Linked DNA regions of Alligator mississippiensis. The protein of the gene in region 1 interacts with the protein of each later gene in a biochemical or structural test. Links are inferred from orthologs where the notes say so. Each region holds a gene or a part of one and is shown in the gene's direction. Other genes may lie near its edges. The genes, in order: KPNB1, NUP98, KPNA4 and NUP153.

What was found.
Region 2: the proteins of KPNB1 (region 1) and NUP98 form a complex in vitro, tested with the Homo sapiens proteins (3 studies listed by BioGRID). The link is inferred for Alligator mississippiensis from reciprocal best matches to the Homo sapiens genes KPNB1 and NUP98.
Region 3: the proteins of KPNB1 (region 1) and KPNA4 form a complex in vitro, tested with the Homo sapiens proteins (2 studies listed by BioGRID and IntAct, with this or other methods). The link is inferred for Alligator mississippiensis from reciprocal best matches to the Homo sapiens genes KPNB1 and KPNA4.
Region 4: the proteins of KPNB1 (region 1) and NUP153 form a complex in vitro, tested with the Homo sapiens proteins (4 studies listed by BioGRID and IntAct, with this or other methods). The link is inferred for Alligator mississippiensis from reciprocal best matches to the Homo sapiens genes KPNB1 and NUP153.

The regions. Positions count from the first base shown.
Region 1 is NC_081827.1:167,231,594-167,238,653, forward strand, and holds the start of KPNB1 (importin subunit beta-1), read left to right. Parts: upstream 1-4,060; 5' UTR 4,061-4,199; coding exon 4,200-4,239; intron 4,240-4,523; coding exon 4,524-4,582; intron 4,583-7,060.
Region 2 is NC_081824.1:481,359,030-481,366,865, reverse strand, and holds the start of NUP98 (nuclear pore complex protein Nup98-Nup96), read left to right. Parts: upstream 1-4,814; 5' UTR 4,815-4,917; intron 4,918-7,836. Other genes in the region: PGAP2 (post-GPI attachment to proteins factor 2), read right to left, coding at 486-738, 2,322-2,618. UniProt on the Homo sapiens protein: Plays a role in the nuclear pore complex (NPC) assembly and/or maintenance. NUP98 and NUP96 are involved in the bidirectional transport across the NPC. May anchor NUP153 and TPR to the NPC.
Region 3 is NC_081830.1:68,628,904-68,635,962, reverse strand, and holds the start of KPNA4 (importin subunit alpha-3), read left to right. Parts: upstream 1-4,056; 5' UTR 4,057-5,845; coding exon 5,846-5,938; intron 5,939-6,739; coding exon 6,740-6,784; intron 6,785-7,059. UniProt on the Homo sapiens protein: Functions in nuclear protein import as an adapter protein for nuclear receptor KPNB1. Binds specifically and directly to substrates containing either a simple or bipartite NLS motif.
Region 4 is NC_081826.1:130,932,208-130,939,153, reverse strand, and holds the start of NUP153 (nuclear pore complex protein Nup153), read left to right. Parts: upstream 1-3,944; 5' UTR 3,945-4,112; coding exon 4,113-4,196; intron 4,197-6,946. UniProt on the Homo sapiens protein: Component of the nuclear pore complex (NPC), a complex required for the trafficking across the nuclear envelope. Functions as a scaffolding element in the nuclear phase of the NPC essential for normal nucleocytoplasmic transport of proteins and mRNAs.

The DNA.
Region 1 (7,060 bases):
AAGTAGCCTCTCTTCTAACTCCAGCACGGTGACTCCAGGCACCAAGCACATTTTCTAGTCCTGCTCTACCTTTGGATGATTCACTCAAGCAGTCAGTGAACCAAGTAAGAGAATCTAGACCTAACACATGCACAGCAGATTAAGCAGCTGTACCCTCAGCAATGGCCTCCATCAGTGAGTCTAGCTATACAGCAGGATGTGTGCATCACAGGGAATATTCATCACCCACAGGGAAGTTCACACTCTTTGCAGAGGACAGGACTGGGATTCAGGAGATCTGGGCTCTATTCCTAGCTGGGCTACTGGCTGTCTGGTTAACCTTAGGCAGTTTGTTTTCCCTCTCTGTGCCTCTGCTTCCTTTTCCACATACAGGAGATGACTGAAGTCCTCTGCTCTGAAAAGTGCTAGTTATTATTATGTACAGCTGGTGAGCATAGCTAAAAAATGAGGAGAGGCTGAAAAACCAGGCAGAGCCAGGACCCCTAGGCTCCATCCTCAGCTCTCCCACTGCCTAGCTGCATCACCTTAGATGTGTCATTTTGCTAGTCTCCACCTGTAAACCAGGGTGAAGAGCAAGGACACCTGCATTCCATTTTCACCTCTGCCTGACCTTGGACCAACTTCCCGATTATAAAGCAGGGTTAATACTCACCCACCTCCCTAGGGACAGGTTCCTGTTCCATATTTGTACATCCTTCTTTCTTGCCTTAGAAGAGCATACTCTTCCCTCCAGGCTAAGGCACTTAGCAGGGTAGGAGGGGAAGGGAGCAGTATCTGTGGATAAAGTACTAGGAGCCAGGACTCCTGGGCTCTATTTCTGGCCCTACCACTCAGACACCATATGATCTTGATGTGTCTCAGTTTCTCCAACATGGAGTGTTATGAGGGGCTTCATGGCTTGAAAGGATGACAAAGTTGGAACCTTACAGGTTTTAAAAATTTATACTCCATTCCTCCACTGGTTCATCTCTTGGCAGGGTTAGGAGCTTCTCAGAGATAAATGGAGTTCCATGGCATTCACTGTGCCTAGAACTTGAAGAGGAAGGTTGTCTAAGGTAATATCTGGCTGCTGGGTGTTGAGCTCCTGGCACCTTTTATATCAAGAGGAGGATTTTCTGCTAGTGTCCTCAGTTAAACTTTCCTCTCCCTCCTGTAGCTGGCTTCCTCCTCAGAGGCAGCTACATTTCAATGGTGAGTGGTTTCTAAAGTGCCAGGGAAGCCATATGTCAGCAGAAACAAGGATGAGTTAGAGAGACATGAACTGTTTCTCTGAAGGCAGAATGAGATGGGACACCTCTGCTCAAACAGTCTCATGCATATCTGCAGACAGACAGGACTTTCCTACTTCCGTCTGAAAAATGGGGCCCCTCTCATCCCTCCCTGTTATCAGCCTATGGGTACCTGTTGCCTGAGAGAATCAGGTTGACTATATCTGGCTACTCACCCCTTCTCCCCATGGCATTCATATTTAATACAATAGAGCCTGATTGTGTTACTAATTACTCTTCCTCCTACAGCACAAACCGCTGAGACACCCTCTTCACCTTGGTTTAATTATGCAGCTGCACCTTTGTTCCTTGTTCTCCTTTTCTGCAAGACTTTATTTAGCATCAGTGCATCTCAGGAGTTTGACTCAGGTATTGTCCACATGTGAAAGTTGTATTGCTTTAACTATCCTGGTAGTTAAAGGGACATGTATGTTCACATCCATGAAATGTCATGTGGTTATATGTTATGGCAGTTCCTCCTGTGGCAAGGGTGTCAAACATATGGCCCACAGTCCCCCAGAGGGGCTGGAGATTTAAGGATGGGACAAGTAATAGCAACATTAACCTCTACAGCCCCCTTAACTGACAGTAGTTCAGGCACCCACAGGGGTGAATTTGAAATCCATCTCTCTGCCACTGAATTCTGGGGTATAGAGCTTCACTGGGGACTTGTTTGCCATACGTAAGCTGCTGCTGCAACAAAAGAAGTGTTATGCCCCAGGGCTCCCTGAACAAACAGTGGCTTAAGCACCCATAGGGGTTATTGCCATTCCTGCTTACCCTGCTGCAGGGGTTGGGGGGGCGGCGGCAGGGGACACAGGAGCAAATGAGTTTGACACCCCTGCCACAGAAAGAAGGGATCTTTTGCCATCCTTTGTCTACACTAGGGATTGGACTGCTACTCTTTCCATTGAAAATAAAAGGTCTCACACTACTACCTGGAATACATTTTCCCAGTACAAAAACAGTGCATAGATTAGTCCCTATTGATATGTAGTATGGAGCACCTTGGAAGCCAAATCACAGGGCACGTTGTGTTGGGCACTGTCCAGAACAGGACAATGTTTGCCCCCCCCCCCAAAAGCTTACAGGACACCAATTTCAGGCTTTGATTTCTGCCTTCCCTTACTAGTATATCTCAGATGAATCAGCCTCTAGAAATTCAACCAGATAGAAAACATTCTCTACGGCCTTCTTCACCAGCAGGACGCTGCACCATATTTATTTCCAGTCTTTGTGAAGATTTTCATTCTTACTGTGGTGGGTTCTACAGAACTGCAGTCAGTGACAAAAGAGCAGTCAACTACCTTCACGTTCTGCTTCAAAAGTCAGAGCTGGTTCAGTTGTAGCTTGGGCTGCTGACCATTCATACCCGACAAACGTCAGTTTTAAGTGCTACCAGGTGTGGATTATTTCTAGTGCTAGTTGTAGTGTCATTTAATCCCAGCCCATCAAGGGGATTCTCCTCCTCCCCCCATGTACCATTTGTGGGCTTCCTATTGCCTCCTGGGCTCTCTGCCTCCAATGGGCTGACCAAAAGAATTTGACACTGTTACAGAAGTGAAGAGAACACGGGCTGCGATGCTATTACGGACAAGGGATGCTGTTCAGGTAGAAGTAGGTAAGAACTAGTATGACTTGACATAGGATCATGCTTAATATCCTTATAGTTGTTGTCATGTTAGAGTTAAGGGCACTAATACAGTAGCTAGGAGAGTATTTAGTTAACCAATGCATATAAAAATGTGTTGAAAGTGCTAGCCCTGGAGCACCTCCTGAGCTTTGGATGCCACTGAATTTCAGTGAGGAAGGGGATGTTCAGGTAATTCCCAGCCCTTTCCAAAGGCACCCCAGGATCTTGTACCACCCAAATCATGCACACGGAACAACTCTTTGACATCAGGTGTGCCCAATATAGCAGATTTCTGTGCGAGCCCAGTGCCCCTTACACACGCTGTTTGATGAGGAAGAGCCACAGCTGGGGCTGGAGGAAAGCTGTTTTCTGCAGCACTCGCATCCTTCTCATCTCTTCTTGGGTAGGCACATGGAGGCTGCAGCACCTTCACAGGAGAAGAGAGGATGGGGAGATCTTAAAGCCTCCTTGCCACCATCCCACCCCACCCCACCACAATCGCAGGGGCAAATACGTTACCTTTAGCGCAGCCCTTGGTGGTGGGCTTCATCCTTCCAAGGGAAGCGCTTTGTGACAGCTGCGATGGAGCCTCGCCTCTCCGGGGGCCCCACTCCCCCGCTGGGTCGGAGCTCCCCCGAGCAGCGGCCGCCTTCAGCTCAGGAGCTGCAGCCCCCGAGCAGCGCTTCTCAGCCTCCTGCTCCAGCCTCCCCACAAGGAAGAAGACCCCCTCCCGGAGATTCCCCCCTTCCAGGAGACCCAACCCCCCCGAACCCTTGCGGGCTGAGCGCCCCCTCTTCCGAAACCAGCTGCGAGCTGCCCGCGGCGCAGCGGGGCCCCCGGCTGCACCCTGCAAGGACCGCTGCGGCAGCCCGGCGCTGCACGCGGTGGGGGAGGGGAAGTCATGACGCAGAGCGCGCACGCGGCTCCCACACCCCCCGCTTGCCGCCACTTCTCTTGGGCGCCCGGGCGCGGCGGCGACCAATCAGCGCGCGGCGCCGGAACCCGGCGGCGGCCCGCCGACACGCATGCGCCGCGGCGGCCGGGCGGCCAATCAGCTCGGCGCGTGGCGGGCGCGGGCAGCCAATGAGCCCCCGGCAGCGGGGCGGCGGGCAGCGGCTCATATCCCTCCGCTCCGCCTCGCCGAGCCGCGCTCCCACCCGCCCCTTTCTCCTTCCGCCGCCGCCACAGTCGCCTCGAGCAGCTGCCGCCGCCGCCGCCCGGGTCCCCGCGCCGCAGGAGCCGAGAGAGGAGCGGGCCCCGCCCCACCGCCGCGCCGCGCCGGAGCCTCCGCCGCCGCCATGGAGCTCATCACCATCCTGGAGAAGACGGTCTCGCCGGGTAGGGCAGGGCAGGGCCAGGCGGCGGCGGCGGGCGCGGCTGAGGGGGCGCGGGGCCGCGGGCAGGAGCCCGGGCGGGCGGGTGGGGCGCGGCGCGGCCGCAGGCGGTGCGGGCCTGGGCGGGTGGGGCGGGCGTGTCGCGGCGCCGCGGGGACGTAGTTTTTCCCCGCGCGGGGCCCGTGGGCAGGGCAGGGCAGGGCAGGGCAGGGGCGGGCGAGGTGAAGACGGCGGGCCGGCCCGGGCCGGGAGCTGCGGCGCCTGATGCGGCCTGTCCCTTCCCCGCAGACCGCTCCGAGTTGGAGGCGGCGCAGAAGTTCCTGGAGCAGGCGGCCATCGAGAACCTGGTGAGCGGGGCGGCCGGGCTGGGGCCGTACTGCCAGGCCGGGCCGGGCCGCCATAAAGGGTGCAGCCTACCTCGCCGGCTCCAGCCGGGGCGGCGGCCGGCCAATGGCGACGCGCCCGGGAGACCCGGCGGCCAATCGCAGCGCGCATCCGGCCCGAGGGGGAGGGTGTTAGGCTGCGTGGTGCTGTGTGTGCGGCGGGAGGGGGGAGAATGGGGCCTGCGGGACATGTGGGGAGCCCGGGCTGGGGCGGGGGGTGGCTCCCTACCCCCCGTCCTGCCCCCACTGCCACCATAGGGCAAGTCCTGCCTGCCCCCTGGGGTCTTGCTCCCTTCCTGTGCTGGGGACCCATCTCCCTCTTCCACATCCCCTCATGCTGCTTTGCGAGGCTGGGTGCAGGGTGCTCCTCTGTTTCTTTGCTGACTGACTTTTTTTTGCCTCTGGCCATCACTTGCACCTCTTCTTCTTTTCATTTGCTCCATTTGTTTCTCATTCTCTTTTTCCTCACTCACTGGGGCTGGGTCCTTTTTTTCTCATCCTCTTCCCCTTTTGATACCCCCTTTCTGCTTTTCATCATCATTCCCTGTCTTCTGGGCTATGCCTCCCTCCCCCTTTGTCTGATCTGGCCTGGAGTTCGGAGAAGCAGAGAGAGCTTCACCCTGGGTTGGGGGAGGGTCTGTGTCTGAAGTGTATTTTCTTAAGGAAGTTAGGGTGGCGGGGAGCAGAGCTCACACCCTCAGGCCTGCAAAAGGCTGTCTCGTGTTGACCTGTTAAAACACATGGCAGCCCCTGCACATGAGTGCACTAAAATCAAGGATGGATGGGGCTGCAATGTGTAAGGTTCTCCTGTGAGCAGCCAAATAAGCTGTTTGTCATTATGGCAGTTCAGTGAAAGGGTACAGGGGTGTGTGGCTTGTTGCTGTTGGTCACCTATTTTTCTTTCAGATTGGAAGCAAAATGTGGGTGTTTTTCTTTATGTGGACATATATGTGCTTTCCACTTCACCGGTGTCAATGGACAAGAAATTCTGAAATCATAGAAAATGAGGGTTGGAAGGGACCTCAGGAGGTCATCTAGTCCAGCCCCCTGCTCAAAGCAGGACCATACCCAACTAGATCATGCCAGCCAAAGCTTTGTCTGCTCAAGTCTTAAAAACCTCCAGGGATGGAGATTCCACCACCTCTCTGTTGTAGCCTGTTCTAGTGCTTTACTGCCCTTCTATTGAGACAGTTTAGGTGAGGTATTGGGAAGAACTTCCTTTGCTGCAACTTGGGACAATTGCTCCTTGTTTGAGAACAGTCTAGCTCCATGCTCTTTGGGACCCTTTCCCCCCCTTCAGGTAGCTGAAGACTGTTATCAAATCCCTCCTCAGTTGTCTCTTCTCCAGACTAAACTGAGATATCTGTTATGCAACTCCATGTTTTTAGTGATCATGGAACCCTTCTGAAGCATAATTGGAATATTTTTTATGTTTAATATCTTTCTCTTTAGTTCCTGTTCTATGGCTAGCTGTTTAGTAAATCATAGCCCTCCACTGTAACTGTGGAACCCAACTGTAGCTGAGAAATTTTACTGGTGCAGCTGATGAAAATGTGTCCCAGTCAGTTCTTGCAATTTTTTCCTGCATACATTCTAGAGCATTAGCCAATACTTTTGGCAGAGCTTGGTTATGTATAGAGGCTGTGAGAGCATGTACGTTGCAGACCCAAATCCAAATGTAATCTAGAAGGATTTTGAAATTAGTCTATCTAAATTACAGATAGAACTGCTGATGTTTGGACCCAGAATAAAACAGCTACTTACGTAGTTCTTGTTAAATAAATAGTTGCAGGAAGCAGGCAGAAAATAAAGTAATGGCGAATACAAGCTGCTCCTGCTTTTCAGCTGTATGTCCCAGAGTTCCTCCGCATCAAATTCAGAATGGAATTTTGAGAGTTGAGCCCAGTGTCTCCTTGGGGGTTGTGACCCTTGCCATTGTCACATTTTTTTTTCATCAGCTTCCACAATCTAGTCTGGCAAAATTCCTTCTTTCTGACTTTATAATAAAAGTTCTTTGGGGATGAGTAAAATTACTTTTCTCATTATGGTAAAAGGTGAATGAGGGAGATTTTTGTTTTAGGCCAATATGCTTTTTGGATGTTTTTGTAAGGCTTAATCGAGCTTATATTGATGGACCCAAACTTTATTTGCAAACACTGTATTTCAGGTGTCTAAACAGACTATTTGATAGCCTCCTTACAATTCTGTCAGGTGATATATTCACAAAGGTCATATATAAATCTATGGTCTTCTGTTACATGCTGCTTACAGTCGTTCCTAGCTACTACCAGAGTTTTCCATTCTGTCTACTGGGAAATTTGTACAGGTTTCTAACATTTGAGTGCAACTGTTCAATTTTTAGGAATTGGTTGCATTTGGGTTTAGAGCAGACAGCCGATGCAAGTCTTCCTTCAACTCCTATGTCCAGCTATATTGTATTGA
Region 2 (7,836 bases), on another chromosome or scaffold:
CTTCTAAACACTTGTGATGAGAAAAGGCAGAAACACATCCTCAGGCTCAACATGCTTGAAGACTGCACAAAGTGTCTTAACAAAGCTCATTTTAACTCCACCTGAAGACTAACGTGGGAAATTTCATCCCAAAAGGAAACTAGTCAAGCAAAAGTTAAAACGTATGTTAGAACGGCAGCTAGAAGAGAAGACCCCACCTTACCAGCAGCAGGAGCGGGGAATTTTCATTTTCAGAAGTGCATCCCCAAAGGGATAAGATATGGTCTAGATGCAGGGACAGGAGCTAAGAAGCATCAAATTCAAACCCCATCTCTGACACCAGTGTCCTACTATGAGGCTTGACTAATTCATGCTTGCAAAATCCCTTGGTGACAGCTGCCTTCTATACAAGATCCAGATACTCTTATTATGGTGACATGAACCGCTGATTTTAAGGGAACGTGCGTGTGTGCGTGCACGTTTGCTGTGGGAAGGGAGAAACCTACCGTAATTTTCGGTTGAGGACACATATGTCAGAAGGAGGAGAGCAATGTTTTCAAGCAGGTTGAGCCCGAAGTTGAAGCGGCAGAGCCGAAGGTAGCGAGGGTGCGTGCAGTGGCAACTCTGGTAGTGGTTCCAGTACGCGATGGCCACCAAGATGCGTGGAGCCGAGTGCAGGCCGATACACAAACGCCACACATAACGCTGAGGGGTCTCACCTCCGATAGCTGCACTGATGGAGGGCAGGTAATTTGAGACCTAGGGAAGAAACAACAGTTTGTGGATCAGACATCAGGACTCTGTATTAGAAGGTCTCATTTACTGCTCTCTAAACTTTTACAGGCCAGATCCTGTCCTACCTATTAGGTGTCCAGATGGACTTAGGTGCCTAAGTGTGATGCTGTGCCACTGCTCAAATCCCTGAAAAGCTATTATACAAAAGTTGGCTTGTCCTCCTGCTTGCTGTTTTGTGTGACTTGGTCTTGAGGGGAAGAGGAAGTCGTGTTACAAACTTGGGTGCATTAAAGGTTTTTTTTCAGGTGAATGAGGATTGTGCACATAAGCACATAACAGGTGGAAGAGGATGAGTCCCTACCTTTTATAATCATAGAGAAAGACCCCCAGGTCTTCTAGTCCGACCCCCTGCTAAACCAGTGCAGCCAAATGTCAGTCTAACCTGCTGTGGAAAACGACCAGGGATAGAGACTCCACAGCCTCTCTAGGTATCTTATACAATGCTTTGCCACCCTCGTAGTGAGAAAGCTCTTTCTAATCTCTAACCTAAATTTCCCCTGCTGTAATGTGAGACCATTGCTCCTTGTCCTATCCCCTGCAGCCACAAAGAATAGTCCATCCCAATGCTCTGTAAAATCACCCTTTGAGTATCTGAAGGCTTATCACATCTGTTTTCTCCAGACTAAATAATCCCAGTGTTTCCAATTTTTCATACTGTGTTTCCCAGGCCTCTAATCGCTCGTGCTGCTCTCCACTGGATGCTTTCTGATTTGTACCCATCTTTTTTGAAATGCGGTGCCCAAAACCGGACACAATACTCCAAGGGAGGCCGCACCAACGCTGAACAGATGAGAAGTATCACTTCCCTGGACTTGCAAGAAACTATTCCATTAATATGGGCCAGTGTGCTATTGACTGTTTTTTTTCTTTTGCACCCAGAGCACACTGCTGGCTCACATTCAGATTCCAGTCCACAGTGAACCCCAAATCTTTGTCTGCAATCTGTAGCCTAGCCAGTCACTCCCCAGGCTATATCTGTACATGAGAGCCTTCCCTCCTACGTGTGGGACTTTGCACTTGTCCTTAATGGATTTCACTCGATTACTTTCAGACCATTGCTCCAGTCTATCCAGGTCATTCTGGATCCTAAATCCCTCCAAAGTTATGCAGCTCCACCTGACTTGGTGTCAGGTCCAAGGCATGAATGGAGATATCGAGTAATACCAGGCAAGCACAGACCCCTGGGAAACCCCCCTCAAAACCACCTCCCAATTAAAGTGAGTCATCAGGGGCTGCTCTTTGGAGCATGATGATCCAACCACTTATGTATCCACCTTCCAGTCTAGGTTAAACTACTGTATTTCCTTGGCTTACTAATGAGAATGAAAAATGCATAGCACAGAGGACATAATTATTCCTGTTTCACTGACGAGGAAACTGATAGAAGCAGAGAGTGATTTGTCTGAGATTACACGGCAAATCAGCAGGGGAGGCATGACACCAGATGTCCAGCCACCTACTCAAACCAGTAGACCACACCACCAATCCTAGCAGCCATACCTTTAACACACTTCCCTCTATGAGGGATTAGAGGGTCTGTAACTTACGCCACAGTGTGTAGCCGTCGTCTCCTGGAAATGGAACAGCAGAGACCAGATCACGCAGAAAAGAAACCCAAACAGCGGGCAACACACGGTCCCAACCGCCAGGGTGGTAAAGCGAAGTCGAAACAGGATCCCATCTCGATCCAGAGGCAGCGGTAACTGAAACATGTTGCTGGACCTAGAAGCAAAAAGCCAGTGTTTGACGGGTGCCCCTTCTCCCACAGGAGGACTTCCCAGCGCCGATGGCCACAGCAGATCCAAGCGATGCAAAAGGCCAAGGTGTGCAGCAAGTCGGCGCATGACCTTTCACATCCGAAACCCCAGGTTCAAACTCTGCATCGCCGGACTAAATACAAGCAACGTGAGTAACGGCTCAGATCTTCAGGCAGGTTGCAGTTTAGCTTCTGTGGGGGTTGAGGGGGGGAAGCTACAGCAGCGTTGATTCAGACAGACCCCCTAATCTAGGGGCAGGGTCAAGAACGGAGCGAGAAAGAGAGTCCCGCACGGACTAATCCGAAACGGTGCTGCACGTCAGTCGCTTCCATCACAGACAATCCTGAGAGCAACTCTCCGGATCAGGTCCGGAGGCTGCAGAGCTGGGACCCTGAACCAGCAAGGCTCGCCCGACCCTCCGGACCGTCTGGGGAAAACAGCGCAGCAGACGTTTCACAGCACGGATCCGGGCAAGTTCAGATCCTCAGCTTTTATCACCATCAGACGCTGAAATACATCAGAGGACAACGTTATCCCAGCACAATTTGAGCTACAAAAAAATTTGCCGGGTTGTGTCTAGACCCCTCTTTATTAACCAGGGTGCCTTGCCTCTCGCTCGAGCCTCGTGGCCCCCTTTTCCAGCCTGCAGACTAATATAGACTCATAGAAATCATAGAGAAGTGGGGCTGGAAGGCACCTCCAAAGAGTATGTAGTCTAACCCTCGGCCTGAGGCAGGATCATCCCAATCCAAGCCATAATCTAACCTCCTAGTAAAACTACCATCAACCCCGGCACGGCACAAGTCTGCACACCACGCACCTGCCACGAGCGAAGCAGGGCGACCACAACAGTCAGTGTCCTGCTTCTATAAAAGATAGTTAAAATACACTCGGGGCGATCCCACGAAAACGGACATTATCACAGAAAACGAGGGGGGGAAGGGACCTCCGGTCCAACCCCTTGCTCCAAGCAGGACCAGCCCCAATTATATATCATTGCAGGCTTACAAATCCCCTGACATACACAACAGAAGCAGGGGAGGCAACCAGCACGGCCCAGAAACCTGGGAAATCCCCATAGCCGAGCGCAGGCATCGCTACGCCTACTACGTTTTATCGAACCTCTCCTTGCGACGGAGCCCACAGCTTTCCGGAGAGGCGCCCGTCTATCCCGCTCCAACAACGAACACGCTGCCGCGAGATCCGACCGAAACCGAGTTTGCTGCCGCGGGGGGGCCGCGTCCTCCTCTTCGAGCTGGATTTGCCGAGAGCGCTCCCGCAAATCCCTCGGGGTCAGAGGCGGTCACGTGAAGCAGCACGGGCAGGTGTGCATCACGCATTGAACACGCGCGGGCTTGCACGGGGGGGGGGGGGGGGGGGATGACGACTCAGCGGGCATCGTGATTCGCACGCCCCGTCGTAACACCGAATCGCGCCGAATCCCAGCTCCCCCCCCCCCGTCGGCAAATGACAACCGCGCGCTCTCCCGGCGGACTTTGCTCGGAGCCGGCCTTGCCCCGGTTGCAACGCGGACACGCCGCGCCTCAAAGCACCCCCGTGCCCGTCTCCCCTCACCCCTCACACGCGCCTGGCACCAATAACCTGAAGTCTGCTCCCATTTGCACCGCTTTAATCCCCCCCCCCCACACTGCAAACGTGAGGTCACAAGATCTCCCGCACCCCCCCTGCCCCTGGGGACCCCCCCACGGGCCCCAGCACCCCTCCCAGTGCCCCCCACATGCCCCCAGTTGTCGTCAGCGCCCCCCCCCCCGGGACCCCTGAGGGAGGCGGGCGCGGGGGGGGGGACTCACGGCGCGCGGCGGCCGGGCCGGGCGGCGGGGCGGAGCCGGCGGCGCAGTCAGCCCAGCGGGCGGAGCCGGCCCGCCCCTCTGGATGCAGCTGCGCATCCCTCCCGCAAAACGGCTGCGGGGGGAGACTTCCCGTGGCGGGGTGCGGGGAGCCGCGCATGCGCACATCAACCCTGTGCCGGCGTGCGGACGTGTTTGGCGGCTCCCCCCCCCCTCACTATGGGAACCGCAGGCCGCCCCTCTGATTGGCCCCGCCCCGCCTTTCGGGCAGCGGTTCGAAAAGCCCCGGATGTCGGCTGGGCGCGAGGGGATTGCTGGGCCTTCCCCCCCTCGGCCAATCAGAACGCGACCCCGCGGCCCAATCAGCGCGGGGGAAGGCGCTCTTGCCCAATGAGAGCCGGGCAACTTCGGTTTCGAACCGCGGCGGCCAATGGGGCCGCGGCTGCAGGGCGGGCCAATGGGGCCGGGGCGGGGCGTGAGGGGAGTGTGACGCAGTTTCCCTCTCCTGCGAGGCGGCGGTAGCGGCGGCAGCGAGCGTCGTGGCGGCGGCGCTGGGCCCAGGCGCGGCCCAGGCTTCGGTAAGCGGGGCCGGGCCGCGGGGTGGAGGCCGCGCCGGGGTGTCCCCCCGCGGGCACGAGGGGCTGAGCGCGAGCGACCTGCGGGCTTTCCCCCGGCTCCGGCCGCCCGCCCGCCCCGCCGACGGCCCAGGCCTTCCGGGCGGACAGGCCGCATCCTGCTTCCTGGGCTCCATAGCAACCCCCTCCCCCGCCCGCCCTCTGACTCCTCTCCCCACCGCCCTCCTCTCCTTGTTATCCTATCTTATTTTCCTTTATTTATTTTTAGGTCTTGCCCTCATAGATTCATAGATGTTAGGGTCGGAAGGGACCTCAATAGATCATCGAGTCCGACCCCCTGCATAGGCAGGAAAGAGTGCTGGGTCTAGATGACCCCAGCTAGATACTCATCTAACCTCCTCTTGAAGACCCCCAGGGTAGGGGAGAGCACCACCTCCCTTGGGAGCCCGTTCCAGACCTTGGCCACTCGAACTGGGAAGAAGTTCTTCCTAATGTCCAATCTAAATCTGCTCTCTGCTAGCTTGTGGCCATTGTTTCTTGTAACCCCCGGGGGCGCCTTGGTGAATAAATCCTCACCAATTGCCTTCTGTGCCCCCGTGATGAACTTATAGGCAGCCACAAGGTCGCCTCTCAACCTTCTCTTGCGGAGGCTGAAAAGGTCCAGTTTCTCTAGTCTCTCCTCGTAGGGCTTGGTCTGCAGGCCCTTGACCATACGAGTTGCCCTTCTCTGGACCCTCTCCAGGTTATCCACATCCTTCTTGAAGTGTGGCGCCCAGAATTGCACACAGTACTCCAACTGCGGTCTGACCAGCGCCCGATAGAGGGGAAGTATCACCTCCCTGGACCTATTTGTCATGCATCTGCTGATGCACGATAAAGTGCCATTGGCTTTTCTGATGGCTTCGTCACACTGCCGGCTCATGTTCATCTTGGAGTCCACTAGGACTCCGAGATCCCTTTCCACTTCCGTGCCACCCAGCAGGTCATTCCCTAGGCTGTAGGTGTGCTGGACATTTTCAACGTCCACTCCGCGTGCCCGCGTTGTGAGCCATTGACTCCTGTCCCTATCCCCGTTTATTTCTTTTCATCATTATCATCATCATTATTATTATTACTATTATTATTATTAATGCGCACACAAATGTGCATATATGTGTGTGTGTGTGTATAATATATATAGAGAGAGACATATAGCCATGTATACACACACGTGTGAATCCATGAAATCACTTACGATTATAGATGAGTAGTATAGCTACATTGATGTATTTATATCGTAAACAGCGATCCTGTTGTTTTGGAAGGACTTTTTTGAGGTGACTTTAGACTTGTTGAAGGGCTCTTGGCCAGAGTCTCCCCCGGCTGCAGGGTTTTCTCGAGTCTTATCCGCTTTCTTAAAGCGTCCGAGGAAGTTTGGACAGATGTTTTCCAGGGAGGTGGGCGACGCAGCGACCTTGTTTGCTGGCGTGGTGTCGGATCGGGCATCGTAAAGTCGAAACGGGGTGTCGGTTTATAAACGTCGTTAAGTGCCGTTCGTTGCAACTCGAAACGTCATAAGTCGAGGGCTGCCTGTATGGTGAGAGGCCGTCAATAATGAACCCCTCTTGACTTTCTCTTTACCACTTAATATTTTGTAAACCTTTGTCCTGTCACCCCTCGGGTGTCTCTTCCTAAACTGAAGAGGCCTGGCCTCTTTAGTATCTCCTCCCTACCACTTATCTTTCTTGCCCTTCTCTAGACCAGTGTTTCCCAACTGCGTGTGGCACAAAAGTGTGCCATCAGAAACAAACAGGTGTGCCGCCGAACTTTGCCACGGCAATGAGTTACAATAGGCGTGAGGATGGGGGAATGTCTTAACAGGTGTGTCGCAGAAAATTTTTATTAAAGTAAGTGTGCCTTGGGCTGGAAAATGTTGGGAAACGCTGCTCTAGACCTCCTCCGGTTTTTTGGTATCTTGTTTGAGATAGGGAGACCAGAAATGGGCGCAGTATTCAAGGTGCGAATGCCCCAGGGATTTTTAAGGGAGCATCATGATACTTCCAGTTTTGTTTACAATTCCTTTCTTCGTAATCTCTAATGGTTTTGCTTGATGGCTGCTGAGCTCATGTTCTTAGTGAACTGTCACAGGTCGCTTTCCTTTGTGGCGACAGCCAAGGTGGAGCTGTCTCCTATCTAGTAGCAATGGTTCTAGAGCAGATTGCTAGAGAAGCAAGGGTTAGGTAAGAAGAGAGAGGGGAGAAACAGGGAAAGCAATAAACACCAATTATTCCTATTACATGGGGTGAGGAGTTGTCTTTATTTTTCCTAAGGGGTGGCAGTGGAGTCGTCTTCCTCTGACGTCCTGTCACCGTGCTCAAATTTGAGTCCAGAAATGGGCACGTACTATTGCGCTGCCTCGAGCTAATTTTTCACAGGAAAGAGAACTCTTGTCCAGCTCAAGCTTACTTTCAGGGGAGAAAGCCTTCAGTAGTTACCTGAGTGTAAAGCCAGTTGCTAGAGGAAATCCTCAAGGGTTGAATGCTGTTTGAGATTCCCCATCTGAATTTGCAGTCTACAGTAATAGAAGAAGCTCCTCTAATTGGATTGGAGTGAGGGGGATGGGAAATGGCTTGTAAGCCAGCTGTCAAAAGAGACCTCAAAAGTCAGTGGGTTACTTGCACCCTTCAGTAGCACAGGAAAGATGAATAAGGTTACGGAGTTAATTGCGCTATAACTACTTCTAGGAAAATACCTTGGCCATAGGAACTATTAAACTTCTGCATATCAGAACACAAATATACCTTTATCACGTGGATGTACTGCACTGTGAGGGTAGTAGTAGCCTTTGGATCTAGGAACCACGATGAATATTTTAGAATAATACCACAAATCTGTTAATGATATTTGTTTAATTTATTGGAACTTTTGAGGGCATACTTTTGT
Region 3 (7,059 bases), on another chromosome or scaffold:
CGTGGCGCACGAGGCCATTTTGCTTGGCACGCTGTGGCCAGCCCTGGCCAGCAACGGAACTTGGGCTGCTCCCAGCTGGGCTTGCAGCATCCCAGCTGCCTGTTGGCTGCAGCCGGGAGGTTCCAAACAGCAGTGCCGGGCTCTGGCATCAGCTCCTCACTGGCGTGTGCAGGCGCACCTCTGAGCGGGCGGTGGGCGAGGGGCCTGAGACGCCGTATGCCCGGTCTCTCCCCTGCTCCCAGCATGGAGGTGAAGAGATGCGCTGGGCTCATCATAGCCAGCCCGGGCTCTGGGCAGCTGCAGTGGGCAGAGTGCAAACAGCTGCGCTGGGCTGCACAGCTCTGGCATTGGCTCCGTGCTGGCGGCGACTGCACGGGCACCTCGGGGCAGTCAGCAGGGCACCCCACCCCCAAGATGGCAACCCCGGGGGGGGGGGGGCGGCTATCCTAGCAGCCCTCAACAGTTCACCAGAACTTGGTAATTGGCCCTCAAGCTGAAATAATTGTCCACCCCTGGGCTAGAAGGTCACAGTAGTGGCAGTATTGTTCAGTGTCTAGGGCATTCCATGCAAAACTCTGTAAATGTATAGGCTGTCTAAACAGATATCACGCACTAATTTGATTCGTAACTGTTGAGCCTGTTCTGTTAATAAACTTATAAATGATTAGTTGTAATTTCAGTATTTTAACTGTTTGTGATGATCTGCACCAGTCACACGTGGATGAAAAACATATATATATATATATAGCTCAGTGATCAGTCACTTTCTTATCTTTGTTTCTCAAATCAAATTGGTTTCAGCTGTTGTTTCTATATATTTATTTACTAATCATTTTGTCTTGTAAAATTATAGTCTCAGATGCTCTGAATTTACAGACTTGCCACTTGCTCGTTTTATTTCCCATAGGTGTTAGGCAGTTGTGATTTCCCCCCCTCCCCCCCCCCCCCCCCCCCGCTATTTGAATGGCATGAAAAAGAAAACGTTTTTATTTCATAGTGCCACTGAGCTTAGTTATACAAGGAGATGGCTTATTTCAATTATATGTGCCCATTTACAAAATTCTAAATGTTTTTGTGACTTGGCCTCTTAAATTGGGCATTGCTTAAAAAAAACCACTGAGGAATGCCGTGTGTACAAGTTAGATTTTATACTACTAGATTTTCAGTTACTTTATTAGCTTAAGTATAAATCCTGACATTGATTTTAATATTTCGTTTAAAGCTTTCTAAACGTGTGTCTTATTTGCTGTTCCTGTGACTGGTACTTTTTATTGAAGGACTTTATGTACTAATGGATTGTGTCTCTTGTCCAGCTGTCCTGGGTGCTGCAGCTGTGTTACATAGGGTCCTATGTTGTGGCCTTTGGTATGTTAGGAAGCTGTTACAGTTTTTAAATTCTGCTTGTGGTGATCTGTGTCCTTTACTCTGTTTTTGTTTCTTGTCCCCAAGCATAAAATAGCTTTTTGTTGTTCTTCCAGCTTTTATTAAAATTACTTTTCCATTCTCCTGCCCCAACTAAAACATTTAATTCAAACATGGCTTGTTCAGTAGAGTAAAACAAATGTTCGAAATGCATCAGGTATGATCTTGCTCGTTTTATTATGAGCCTTGTGTTAGGGATATAAATACTGTTTTTAAAATATTTGTTTAACCTTCTCTAATTATGTGGGTTAAATGATTAAGCTACAACATGGCAACTGCTGAGAGCGACTCCTAGAGCTTTTGACTGGGGGAAGGGGTGGAGGAGGCAAGCCCAGCCAGACAACACAGTCTAGGTGAAGCCTGTAAAGGAGCAATTATGCGTTTAATTGATGAGTAATTAGCAGGGATCCTGGTTTTCTCTGATTTTAAATAAAATTGCAAATTCTCTGATAACCCCAAAATCCATGATTAAAATAAAAAGCCACTATGCCTGCCTGCCTGTAAGTTGAACACAATGTTTTATTGATATATTTACAATTTTAAAGCAATTTGGAAGCACACCAGTGCCTCGATCACTATAATACATTCTAAATACTTGTAAATCTTGGTATTTAGTTGTGTGATTTTATCATGGAAGATCAGAGCTAATCTCTGCCCCCTTCATTCACAGAATGCAGGTCCAGGCCCCTTAGCCCTTTTACCCCCCACTAGTGGGGGCCCCCAGCTGCCAGGGTTACAAGGCCAGGGACCTGGGTCTGAGCCCTTGGCCCTCCGCAGCAGCACCTGAGCCCTGGCTGCTGCCCACGGGAGGTGGTGGCTGCTGTTGCAGAGTAGCAGAACCTGGCACCCAGCATGGCAGGGCAGAGTGGGGCTGCCCAACTCCCTTCCTTCCTGTGGCAGCCTCAAACCCCCACCCCTGCCTGACTTACCTGTGAGAGCTGCTCTCCAGGCTCCCTGGCAGCCATGTGCGTATACGTGTCTCTGGCCTGACTGCGCTTCTCCCGTTCCCCCCAGCCCCTTGCAGGCTGGAACTCTGCCATCCTGCAGATTGCTCATTGCAAAACTGCAAAATCTACATGTTTCTCTGTTAAAATGATCAGTCTGTATTTTCTTGGGTGAAGGGGGAAATTCACTTTTTTCTGTTTTTCCATGGTAAATGGAAAACCTGGATCCCAGGTCCTTAGGCTGCTAGCTGTTTTCCTCTTAAGCTATGGGTACTATAGTCCCCCTTGTCTCTCCCACATCCCTTTCCCCACCACCTGGTTCTTCCTTCCCCGCCCTCCCTTCTCCTGTCCTGGTGCCTTCTGAGTCCTGCTGGGGCACCCACCCCAAGTTGAAGGATAATCCTAAACTAACCCATTATCACTGCACATACCAGTTAAAGGATTAATCGTTTAACCTTTCACATCCCTACCTTGTGTTGAGCTGGAAGGATTTTTGTTTCTAGAGGACAAAGGAGGGGGCACTTAGTTGCATGTTGGCAGTTAGAGGAACATTCCCTATTAAATTCTTTGAATGAGAAGGAGATCAGTGATATCTCTTTTCCCTCCTTCCGCTGCCCCTTCCCTTATCTCGCACTTCACTCTGTCAAAGGAAGCTTGTTCTATAACAGTTGAAAGTAGCACTTTCCATATTGTGTGTCTTATTTAAGCCTTCCAGGAAAAATTAGGTTTTAGTTAAATGAATATTCCTCTTCAGGAATACAGATTAAAATTTTAATTTTGTCAAATTCAAATTTCAAGTCCTAATCTTCAAGCTTCTTCCTGGTTACATTGCTAGTTTGCAGAAGTCTTTCTTTTAGCAGTTCCTTCCCTTTGAGCTTTCTTTTAATACTGTTTCTTGAAATTGTCAGCTTACTCTACACAAGTCTACCACCGTTTCTTCATTCAAACCTCTTATTAAAATCGTGTTTTCTTTAATTTTCTCATTCTAATTTAATATTAAAACAAGATTCTTTTAACATTAAAATCTCATTACAGAAAAAAAATTGCTCTGCTGTCTTACAGATGGAATGTGTAGTGATTGCTTTCTGAACTTGAAATCAAGTCAGGCATCAGAGTTGAGTATTTTTAGCATCCGTAGCGGCTTCAAATTTGTTTCATTAACTTGTATAACTTTATAGTCATATTATTCTATTTAAGTACATTTCTGCTGTATGAAAGATGCGCAAATTACTATCAAAATTACAAAGCTGGCTTCTTACATAATTCCTGTACCATAACTGCTACAACAACACTCCAGTCGTAACACAGCACTTAAGACATATTTCATATAAATGAAATATGCTTTTATTTTGTTGCTTATCAGATTTCTTCTGTCTAAACTTTGTGCAGTAATTTAACCATGGTTATTAATATATCTGTCATTCTAATAGCAATACTAAGCTACAGCAGAACTGACTGAGAAGCCTGCCACAGTAGGTAGCTTTATATTGAATGATGGAACTTGTACAAGTGCTTCTGTGTACAAAAGCATGCATTTAGACCAGGGCATCTGGAGGATGCTTCAGCTGAGTGTATTTCATTCAGGAGAGAACATTTCTAGCTGTATCTAATTAATAGAATTAAATTATGAATTGGGTTTGTTTGTAGAAAATCTTTTTTTCATAATGACTTTATCGGTGCTTAAGCATTAAGGTTATAGAGTGAAGCACTCAAATAAGAAAAAGTGTTAAAGTTGCATGCACAAACTGCATGGATTCTGGCATCTCAGTTACATTGCTTTATTGGGACTCTTCGGCTTGGAGAAGTGAAGACTCAGGGGTGACTTGGTGGCAGCCTGTAAGTATATAAGGGATGTGCATCAGGAACTGGGAGAACATCTATTCACCTGTGCTCCCTAAGGGAAGATAAGATCTATCAGTCACAAACTTCTAGAAGACCGTTTTAGACTGGACATAAGGAAAAACTTCTTTACAGTCCTAGTCTCTAGAGTCTGGAATAGACTTCTCCCAGAAATGGTGCAAACACCTACTCTGGATACCTTTTAAGAAATGCTTGGATGGGGTGATCTGACCCCAGCTGACTTCCTGCCCCCTGGACAGGGGGCTGGACCCAATGATCTCACAAAGTCCCTTTCAGCCCTAATGTCTATGAAATCTATGAAACTGAATGCAGATTGGAAACTAGTGGGGAAAGCTGTATACTTGTTGCTTTGAATTTGGATTGAATACTATTTTCACAATCTAGATGAGGAATAGATTCTTTAAGATGATAGTTTGATATTCTGGAGTTTGATTTGGTGTGTGCAAAGGATTATGTGACAGTTGTCTAAGATGGCAGGATCACACTGACCTAGAAGATCTCTTTTCATTTTGACTTCTTCTGATGTGAAGTGGCAACTGAAGAAATTTTAAGTGTTTTGCACAGTTTGTGCAGTGAGTCAAGCGAAGTTTCATAGAAAAGATTAAATATTACCTTACTGCCTCATTCACTGTGAGGTAGTGTGCAATAAATTAAAGTATTTGTGAATTTTATTGTATGATAACAGGCTACATGGTAATCCATACACATGGGGGAAGGACTAAAAATGAAATCTTAAGGTTGAGAGTCACAAAAAACTAAGCATACCAGTTATTAATTCAAGTGAGTTTAAGAGCAATTATCAGATGCTCTACTTATGGTTCATGCAAGGAAGTTAAACTTCATTGGTGCATCTACCCATGCAGTTAATGCAAAGCAGTAAACTGTGAAACAACTCAAGCTGGACTAAACTGTTCCCAGGTGCAGTATCTATATGTGTACCCGGGATGGTGATTTGAGCCAGGGCAGCAGAGTAGGCCCCCAGCTGGCCGGGCTGACCAGATATAGTTTACTTCTGCGATCAGCCTCTATACGTCCATTTCAGCGTGGTAAATGACTCTGCTGTAAGATAGTACTGTCCCCAACAGTATTATCTTATGGCAGAATTTTAGTTTACTGCGCCCTAATATCAACTTGCATGTAGACAGTGATGCTTTACTGTGGAGCTAATTAGTCAGCTCTGCAGTAAAGCATATATTTAGATGTGTCCTATATGTTTTGGATGCAAGTAGAGTAACTTTACTTCCATTGCATTAGTCTTCTACTGCAATAGTTTGTTCAGTTTTAAGGGCAAGATCCACAAGAGGCCTTCAGGTTGGTGATACTGAGCCATGAGTCAGTCCTGGGCACCAGGGCAAAATTAGTAGCCTGTTGATTCAGTTATACACCTTTCAAAATGCCTGGGGGGGAATTAGATGCCTTTAGAATGGGTTTCAATAACCAGTATTGTTAAGCTGCCCAAGGGCTCCAGTAGCAGTCAGGGACTCAAGATTTTAAGATTGACCTCACTTACCCCCTTTCTTTTAGAAACAAAACAAGGCTCCTGTTTTTCTTTCAGAATATGACTAGAAGAGATGGTGGCAATGTCACTGTTTTTTCTAGGATAGCCTTGTGGTTAGAGCATGCAAGTGGGATATAGGTGGCCTGGGTTTAATTTCTTATTCCTCAGGGGATTCAGCGCATTCCCCGCCAAGCCCCATCTTCCTCCACCCCAGGTGAGTGACCTGATCTGCAGACTAAGCTGTTCTGTGAAAGTGGTGGAGCTTTGCAGATCATTAGATTAATTGGGCCAGAGTGCAAGTGTGATTGGTCTGGCAAATAATGCAGTTGAAAGCATATCTGCAAAATGACTGCTCTTCACTAGTTTGTAATAACATTTGGAATAGGTTTTTGGGGTTTTTTTTGTTTTTGTTTTTTTGCCATGTTATGTGATATAAAACAACTTGCTTGTCCCATGGTCCTGTGTTAAGTATGTTATTGATTTATTTCCTCCCCATTTGATTTTTTTTTTCCCCCCTTTATTTTACATTGTAGATATCTGTTAGCATGTTCTTAAATAGTACAATAAAGAGTTAATTATTTGAAGTGTTTAGTTACCCAAATGCAGGACATGTTGCCAATTTGTGTCATGAGTGTTATAAATGAGAGCAGGGACAACAAAATAATTGTTAAATATTATTAACAATTAAAGGGAGGCCAGCGTGGGCAGGTTAACCTTTTTAATGGTTTAAAATTTTTTTTCTCAACCTTCAAATAAGAAAAGGACCTGTACATGTATACATGTTCATTTAATAAGCATTTCATTAACCAAAATTGGTTTTTATTAAAGGAATTAGTTCCTAGTTAACTGACTCTATTATATATTTATTGCTATTTTTATATAAAAAAATCTAATTTTGATGGCCTCAGTTGAAAGAAAAATGGTTTAATTAAAGTCTTAAATGTAGGGAAAATCATAATGGTCACTAGGTCCAGATTTGGAATGTTATTTAATTGTTCTGTTTTCAACTTTTCAGACTATGAGAAGACAACGAAATGAAGTTGTCGTGGAGTTAAGAAAGGTGAGATCAGTTAACATTGCTTCTTTCAAAAACAACTTGATGTCTCAGAATTTTGAGTTACCAGTATCTGTATGATCACAGTGCATATTCTTTTGTAGACCTTTGTGAAAGATGCTATCAATCTTTTGTTTTATAAAATTTGTCCAGACATTTGGACAGCCTTTTAGTGGGAGGGAAGCTTTTGAAAGGCAGATCTTACTAAGTCAGAATCTAAGAACTCCACCTAAGTTGTCTTCCTGTAAACTAATTGAAGAAGTTTTATTTCAACTAGTTAC
Region 4 (6,946 bases), on another chromosome or scaffold:
TAGTTAAAAGGTCTGAATCTATTTGAAGCTCTCTGAATCACTTTGGAGAACTTCAGTGATTTCTGGCAGTCCCTGCTGGTTGCTTCAGGGAGCTGAACCCAGACTCCATGCTGGTAAGTACGGGGTGGGGGAGGGAAGGCTGGAGAAGAGGACTATAGAGGAACCCCTGCCAGCCCCTATTCCCTTCCCACCTCCCCATGGCTGCTCCGCCCACCCCAGCTCTCAGTTTCTAAAAAAAAAAGCTCCTACTCACTGGGTGCTGCCAGGTGGGCAACAATCCCTGCTGCCCCCCCACTGCCCTCTGCTGCATGGGGGGTGCTCTGCCACAAACCCCTGACCCCTGCCCACCCAAGCTCCCAGCCCTATAAACAAATAACCTACCCTGGACTCGCTGGCTCCTGCAGTGGCCTTGCTGCTTCTGGGGGCTTGTGGAAAAGCCCCACAAAGTGGGGGGGGGGGCAGTGGGGATTGCCCCCTGCCAGGCAGGACCTGGAGAGCAGGGTGGGTAGGTTGCTTGGTTGGTTGTCTTTTAAAGGGCCAGGAACTGCGGCAGGCAGGGCAGCCACGGAGGGACTGGGAGAGCAGCCAGGGGTGGGCTCATGACAGAGGGCTTCCCACCCCCCTCCCGCATGCAGCATGGGGCAGTGCCTGGCAGCAGCTGGTGAGTGCTAGGCTTTTTTTCTTTTCTTTTTTTTCTTTCCAAAGAGCCAGGAGCTGGGCGGGGCAGCCATTGAGAGCGGGCAGGGGATGGGGCCTGTGTGATTCGGAGATTCGGCTCATTTGGCGGGAGCCAAATCAATTAGGGACAGTGTTTCGAATCACCAAATCGAATCGCTGTCCCCCCCGAATCAGCTGAATCCAAAGCGAATACTAGCCGCTTTGCACAGACCGACTTGGTATGCTGAAGGGAGGTTTTTGGAAAAAGTTTGTTTTTTTGCAAGAAGAGGCTGGAGGGAAAACTTTAAGCTACACTTCCTGCTTGAACTCGGTCTTTCATTTAAAAAAACAAAAATAAAAAGACACCAGCTTCTCACCTGAGCAATCAAACCACCACTGTCCTTGGTCCTGCTTTCCTATGGAATTTTCCCTGAGGCCCCTCCCCACCCACAAGCAAGTTGAGGATTGGTTGGGGGGGGGGGGGGGAAACAAAAGGAGTGAGAGAGATCTGCTAAGGTCTGTGCATGTGTAACCTAAGGTTAGTGCATGCCAGCTGGGGATGAGGGCGGTGCACTGGTACACTCGTACCCTGCTTTGATTTCTAGTCCATCCAAAGTTAAAAGCCAGCATTTCTATTCAGGCAGCAGTGAGGGAGTCCATTGACTTAATGGCTCATTAGAATTTGCTCAATTCCTTCTAAACTTTCCATTAAAATAGTCTTTAATGGTTCCCTTCGTCCAGCTCTCACTTCTACCATGCTGCTACTAGCTGCTTTTAGTCTCACAGCTCCCATTTCAGAGTCCAGCAGTGGTTTTCAGGTGTAGGAACACAAACTCAAGTGAATGTTAGCTCAAGTGTAGAAATTAACTTTCAGTGGAGCACTTGGGGGAACTGTCTAGATTAGGAGTTGGTAACATTTTTGGGTAGAGTGCCAAAAACACCTACAACCTTGACTTGTAAGATGTGCCAGAGGCAGACAAAAGGGGCCTGATCCTTGTTGTGGTAGTACAGCCCTAGCCCCTTCTCTGCCATCTGCCCTGAGGCCCAAGTGCACTCGCTGCTAGCAACAAGCTGGGCCTAGGCTTTGTGGATCCCAGTGCAGCTGTTTACAGACTCCTGGCTGTCTGCCACAGCAGGCCCCAGCTCTGGGCAGGAGCCTGGGCTCTTTGCGGCAGGTTGCAAGGAGGCTGCAAAAAGCTGAACTAGGGTCATTGGAACCCTGGCCTGGCTCATTGCCAGTGGTGGGTGTATGTGCACTTCAGGGTGGGCAGCAGGGAAGGGGCCGGGGCTGTACTGCCACAACAAAGATTGGGCCCCTTGTGGCTCCCCCGCTGTCTGTCCCAATGCATGTGTGCCAAGCAAAATGCCTTCACATGTCATGCTCTGGCACATGTGCTGTGCCTAGATGCTCAAGATGGCTTGGTTTTGTTTTAGGGATCTGAAAGAGAGACATGCCTTTAACTAAAATGACTCCAAGACAAACAAAACAACATTGGGTTATTTTTTGCCTCGTTAGTTGATGTAATTGAGTAAATTCATGCACATTCCAATGCATGTTGTTCTTTTTCTTTTTTTGGCTTCAATCTTAACTTGAATACTAGAGCTCTAGGCTAATATCTATCAAGAGAGCTTCGAGCATCTTTTTCACTGGGCAAAACTGTGATGATGCACCGTACCATGTGCACCTCCCCTTTTCAGAATCCTAGATCCACCCATAGCTGTTGCCCAATGCAGAAATCAGGCCCGGGAAAGTTCTTTTGAGACTGTCTTTAAAATGGTGTGTGTGTGTAAGACTACCATCAACTGTGGTTTAAATTTTTATACGAACATATATATAATGACTACCCTCAACCCTGACACAACACAGACCTCACACCTGAACCTGCTGCAGGACAGTGGTGTTTCTCAGCATGAGGGAAACAAAAACTCTCTATATAAAGGCTGTAAACATATATAGAGCCTTTTGTTTCCCTGATGCTGAAGAACTCCACTGTCCTGCAGCAGGTTTCGGGTGTGAGGTCCTTGTTATGCCAGGGCTGAGGGTAAGTCTTTCGAAGGGTTTAAATTACAGGGAAGCTGGGGGTGAGGGGAGGTTGAGCCCCCCCCTTGCTTAAGAGATGAGAGCCCTCCTGTAAGATTTGAAAATCATAACCAGGAAGGGAGTGTCAGAATTGTACAGATTCACAGAAGTTTAGGGCTGAAAGGGATCGTATGAGATCATTGGGTCCAGCCCCCTGCTCTGGGCAGGAAAGACTGCTGGGGTCAAATAATCCCTGCAAGGTGAGCATCCAGTCTCCTTTTGAAGATCTCCAGGGTAGATTTTAGATTTTAGGGGATTTTATTAGGGCATCATGATGGGCAGCCCAACTTTTTTTGTAGACCGCTCCCCCAAGAGTCAAAGTGCAATTCAAACCCTGGTCTTTCATAGAGGTTAGAGGAGGGCTGTAGGGGTTGGTCTGTCGAGGGCTTATCCTGCCTCAGGCAGGGGGTTGACTAGACCTCTGGAGGCTGCTTCCAGCCCCACTTCTCTACAACTTTGTGAGGCTCCTCTGAGGCAGTGTTGCTAGGTCTTAAATACAATAATTTCCATAATTTCATATTTTCTGCAAAACTATTGGACACTGAAAAAAGTATGCAAATAAGTATGCGAATCAGCCTCATTTACTTTTTTATTGCTACCTGTAACCTCTAGTGAGGGAGAACTGGGGCATCCAAGTTGAAGCCTTTCTTCATTCCGAGGCAAGCTGTCAGGAGAAAGTGATGACAGCAAACCCGAAATTTGGTTAAGACCCTCCAGAGAGTGACCTGGGGTGTTTTTTTGCATATGCTGCACCAATGAGCTTCCCCGAGAATGAGCGCCCATTTTGACAACTTTTAGTATTATCTATTAGGGGTACAGCGTGCAAGGGTTGAAATTGCGCCACAAATACGATCATTACGGTAATTAAGCCCCAGTGAATCACCGAGCTACGGCTTGAGGGCGCGGCGATGGGGTTACGTCACAGCCTCGATCTGGCGCTCCCGCCTTCCCTCCCTCTCCTTTTCCGCTCTGCTCTGTCCTTCCGCACCCCCCACTCGCGCGAGAACTACCCTTCCCAGGAGGCCTCGGGGCGGAGCGCGAGGGCTGCCGGGTAAGGCGCCCAGTCGGATGACGCAAGGGACAGGGCGCGGGCTAGTGATGCTCCGCCGCCCGGGCGGGCGCTCGCGTGGTTGGCTGCTGGGCCGGACGGGGCGGGTGGGGGGGGGGGGACGGGTGTGCGGACTCGGACGCGGCGCGGGCGGGCGGGACTGAACCGGCGGCGCGTGAGGCCTGGGAGGCCGCGAGACGGGCCGCGCGCCGGCGGGGGCGCCGCTCCGCAGAGCCCGTGACGGCACAGAGGGGCGGGGCCGGGGAGCGGCCGGGCCGCGGGGGGAGGGACGGCGCGCGGGACCCGGGGAAGGGCCCGGGGCCCATCATGGCTTCGGGCAGCGGTGGCGGCAAGATCCGGACGCGGCGCTACCACCTGGGCGCCTCCACGCCCTACTCACGGGGCAAGCAGGTGAGGGGCCTGCGGGCGGGTGCGGCCCCGGGCCCACGTGGGAGCCACCGCGCCGGGCGGGGCCGCGTGGCGGGCGCGGCCGTTGGCGGGTGTTGCGCCCCGGGGGGGAAAATGGGGGGTTAACCCCTTCCTGCCCGCAGCCCCGTTTGAGGCGGGGGGTGTCCCATGGTGGGGGGCTCCCAGTTGTGGGAATAGCTGAAGGGATGGACATGGCTGGGTGGTTGGGCCAGAGGGGCTTTCCAGCCCTGCCTGTGGTAGGAGGATATGGGGGGATTGCATGTTGTGTGTGCTTGTGAGGGGTGCAGTATATTTTTTCCTGATGACTTTTTTCCTGACTTTTTTTTTTATCTTGTTCCATTGATGTTTCAGATTTTTGCTGCTTTGAACCCTTGTTTCTGCCCATCTCAGTCCAGTTTACAAAGCCCCCCACTCCTCCCCCCCCCCCCCAGGTGCTTCCACTGAGGGCTTCTGCATCACAGCCTCCTTCCCTGCCCCTTTCCTCTGAAGTTTTTCAAGAGTGGTCCCCTACACGTGGCTTTTGTCTGGAACATCCTGGGTGTGATATAATATGAAGGGGGAGCGGGAAATCTTGCTTCATAAACTGCTCTCCTGCCTTCCCCTTCTGTGCCTTGCCTCCCTGGGTGGAGAGAGAATGAGTTTTTGTTAGCAAATCACTGCTCTTCCCCCAGGGAGCTGTCTTGGGTGCATAGCCCAAGCTGCTGGAGGCAGGCAGGAGGGAAGGCGTCTGCCCTGTTAATGCCTCAGCTTGCCACCTGTTTGAGATGTGCCCGTGGCTTGCATAAGCCGTGCCCCTGTGTACTTTGCTAGTATCACTTTGGGAACACTTAAGGGAAGTGTTGAAGGCAACAGTCTAAGTTACTGCTTTTTTTAATTAGTAACTTCAGCTAGAAGACCATGTAAATGAGGATTTGCGTGTATGTGTGTAGATACAGGTTGGGGGGGTGTACCTTCACTGAGGGTGCCATGGTATCCTGGGGTGCCTTGAGATCCTTTCTAGGGTGCTGCAGGGTGCCATGCAGTGTTGGAAATGCTAGGTATGCAGCCATGATTCACAAAGTACACCTTCATATAATCCACAGAATCAAAACCATTCTGACCTGTTGTAGTCTTTCTGAGTTCCTTGCAACTGAAGAGTTGCTCTGTTAATTTTCCGTAGTCAAAAAATAAGTGAAAACTAAGAGATGACATTTTCCAAGGGGTGCCTTAGTTTATCATGGAGTGCCTTGAGTCTAAGAAGTTTAAAAACCCCTGATCTAGATAGATGTTGATATATGCTCAGAGGCAGACACGCACAGATATATATACAATGACATATTTCCTCTCAAAATCATTAACAGGGAGTTGTAATTTGTGTACAGCCTTAAGCACAATATTGTTTTATACAGCGTGATATGTGCATTTGTCTCGGAAATTCTGGTGCAGCCTAATGACACAGACATCTAACTGTTGAAAGCAAGTTGCTACTCTTTCAGATCAAGTATTGACATACTTTTGCAAAAGGTGAAGCAGAACTGAAAAATCAGGTAATGTGCATGATGATGAGACCTAGTTGAAGAATGATAAAGCTGTAAAGATAGATACTGAAACCAAAATATACCAATCAAATTTACGGTAAAATACGGTAAAATATCTGAGGAAAGTTTCTTTTCTGTATTGTAATAATTTTAAATTCCATTGTCTCATTGGTTTATTAAATTGTGCATGTTTTGTTGGATATTTCAAAAAGCACTTTTCCAGGTTGAGCTTGCAAACTTGCAGAACATTCTGCATATTTATTTCTGGGCAGCTAATTTTAAGTAGTAGGCTTAAATTTTGCCGATGTGTGCTAATAGTCTAGACTAGGGCCCAAGACATGCAACCTTCCAGTGTGATCCCTGTGGCCCTCCATAATCTATTAAATGAGAAGATTTGAAAAGCAAAACAGTTGAGTCCTGTGTCCTTGCTGTGTGGTAGTTTGCTAATCTGCACGTATGCCTACATGTGCAGTCTAGTTTTCTGCTTGTAGCCATGACTGAGAGCTGATGTCCAGTCAGAGTAGATCCCACTAGGGACAGCCTCCATTGGAAAATGTACCTTGCAAGGAGCCCTCAATAAAGTTTAAATTGTTGGCCTTTAGATTAAATTTTTTTAATGACCTTTGAAAGAATTTAGGCACCCGGGTCAAAAAAATTGCAATCCTAAAACCTTCTGAATCAGACCTGCCTCTTGAGGCATCTCTCTTCAATACATGCTGCAGTCTGTAACCTTAAAATTCCTTCTTTTTTTTTTTTTTTTTTTTTGCCTGAAATTTCTATTTCTGCATGTACCCAGAAGTACCTTGGTGCTAACCTACTCAGTCTTTTCAAAACCTAGTTCAGACTTATTCCCCAATCAGAAACTAAAAAGTAGGCATTGATCCAGCTAAGTCTTTAAAGGGATTTAGTCCAGTAGATATTCTACAAGCATACCTAGCAGTTACCAGTGGAATCAGACATCATATAGCAGGATGTGAGGCTTTGGCTGCCCACCTATCTCCCAGCCAGGGTTGGGTCATTCCAGCCTGTGGCTGGAAAAGATTGTCTACCCCTGACCTGTAGGATACATTGGCAGCTTTAGAGGTAGCTGGAGGAAGGGGGTTGAGCCAGTGGGATGTCTCAGGTCTGATCAAGGAGTTGTTTGCTCTGTTTTGTGAAAGCTTAATGATTTTGCACTTGCTCAGAATATGGGGCCTCAGTGAGTTTCCTCTTCTG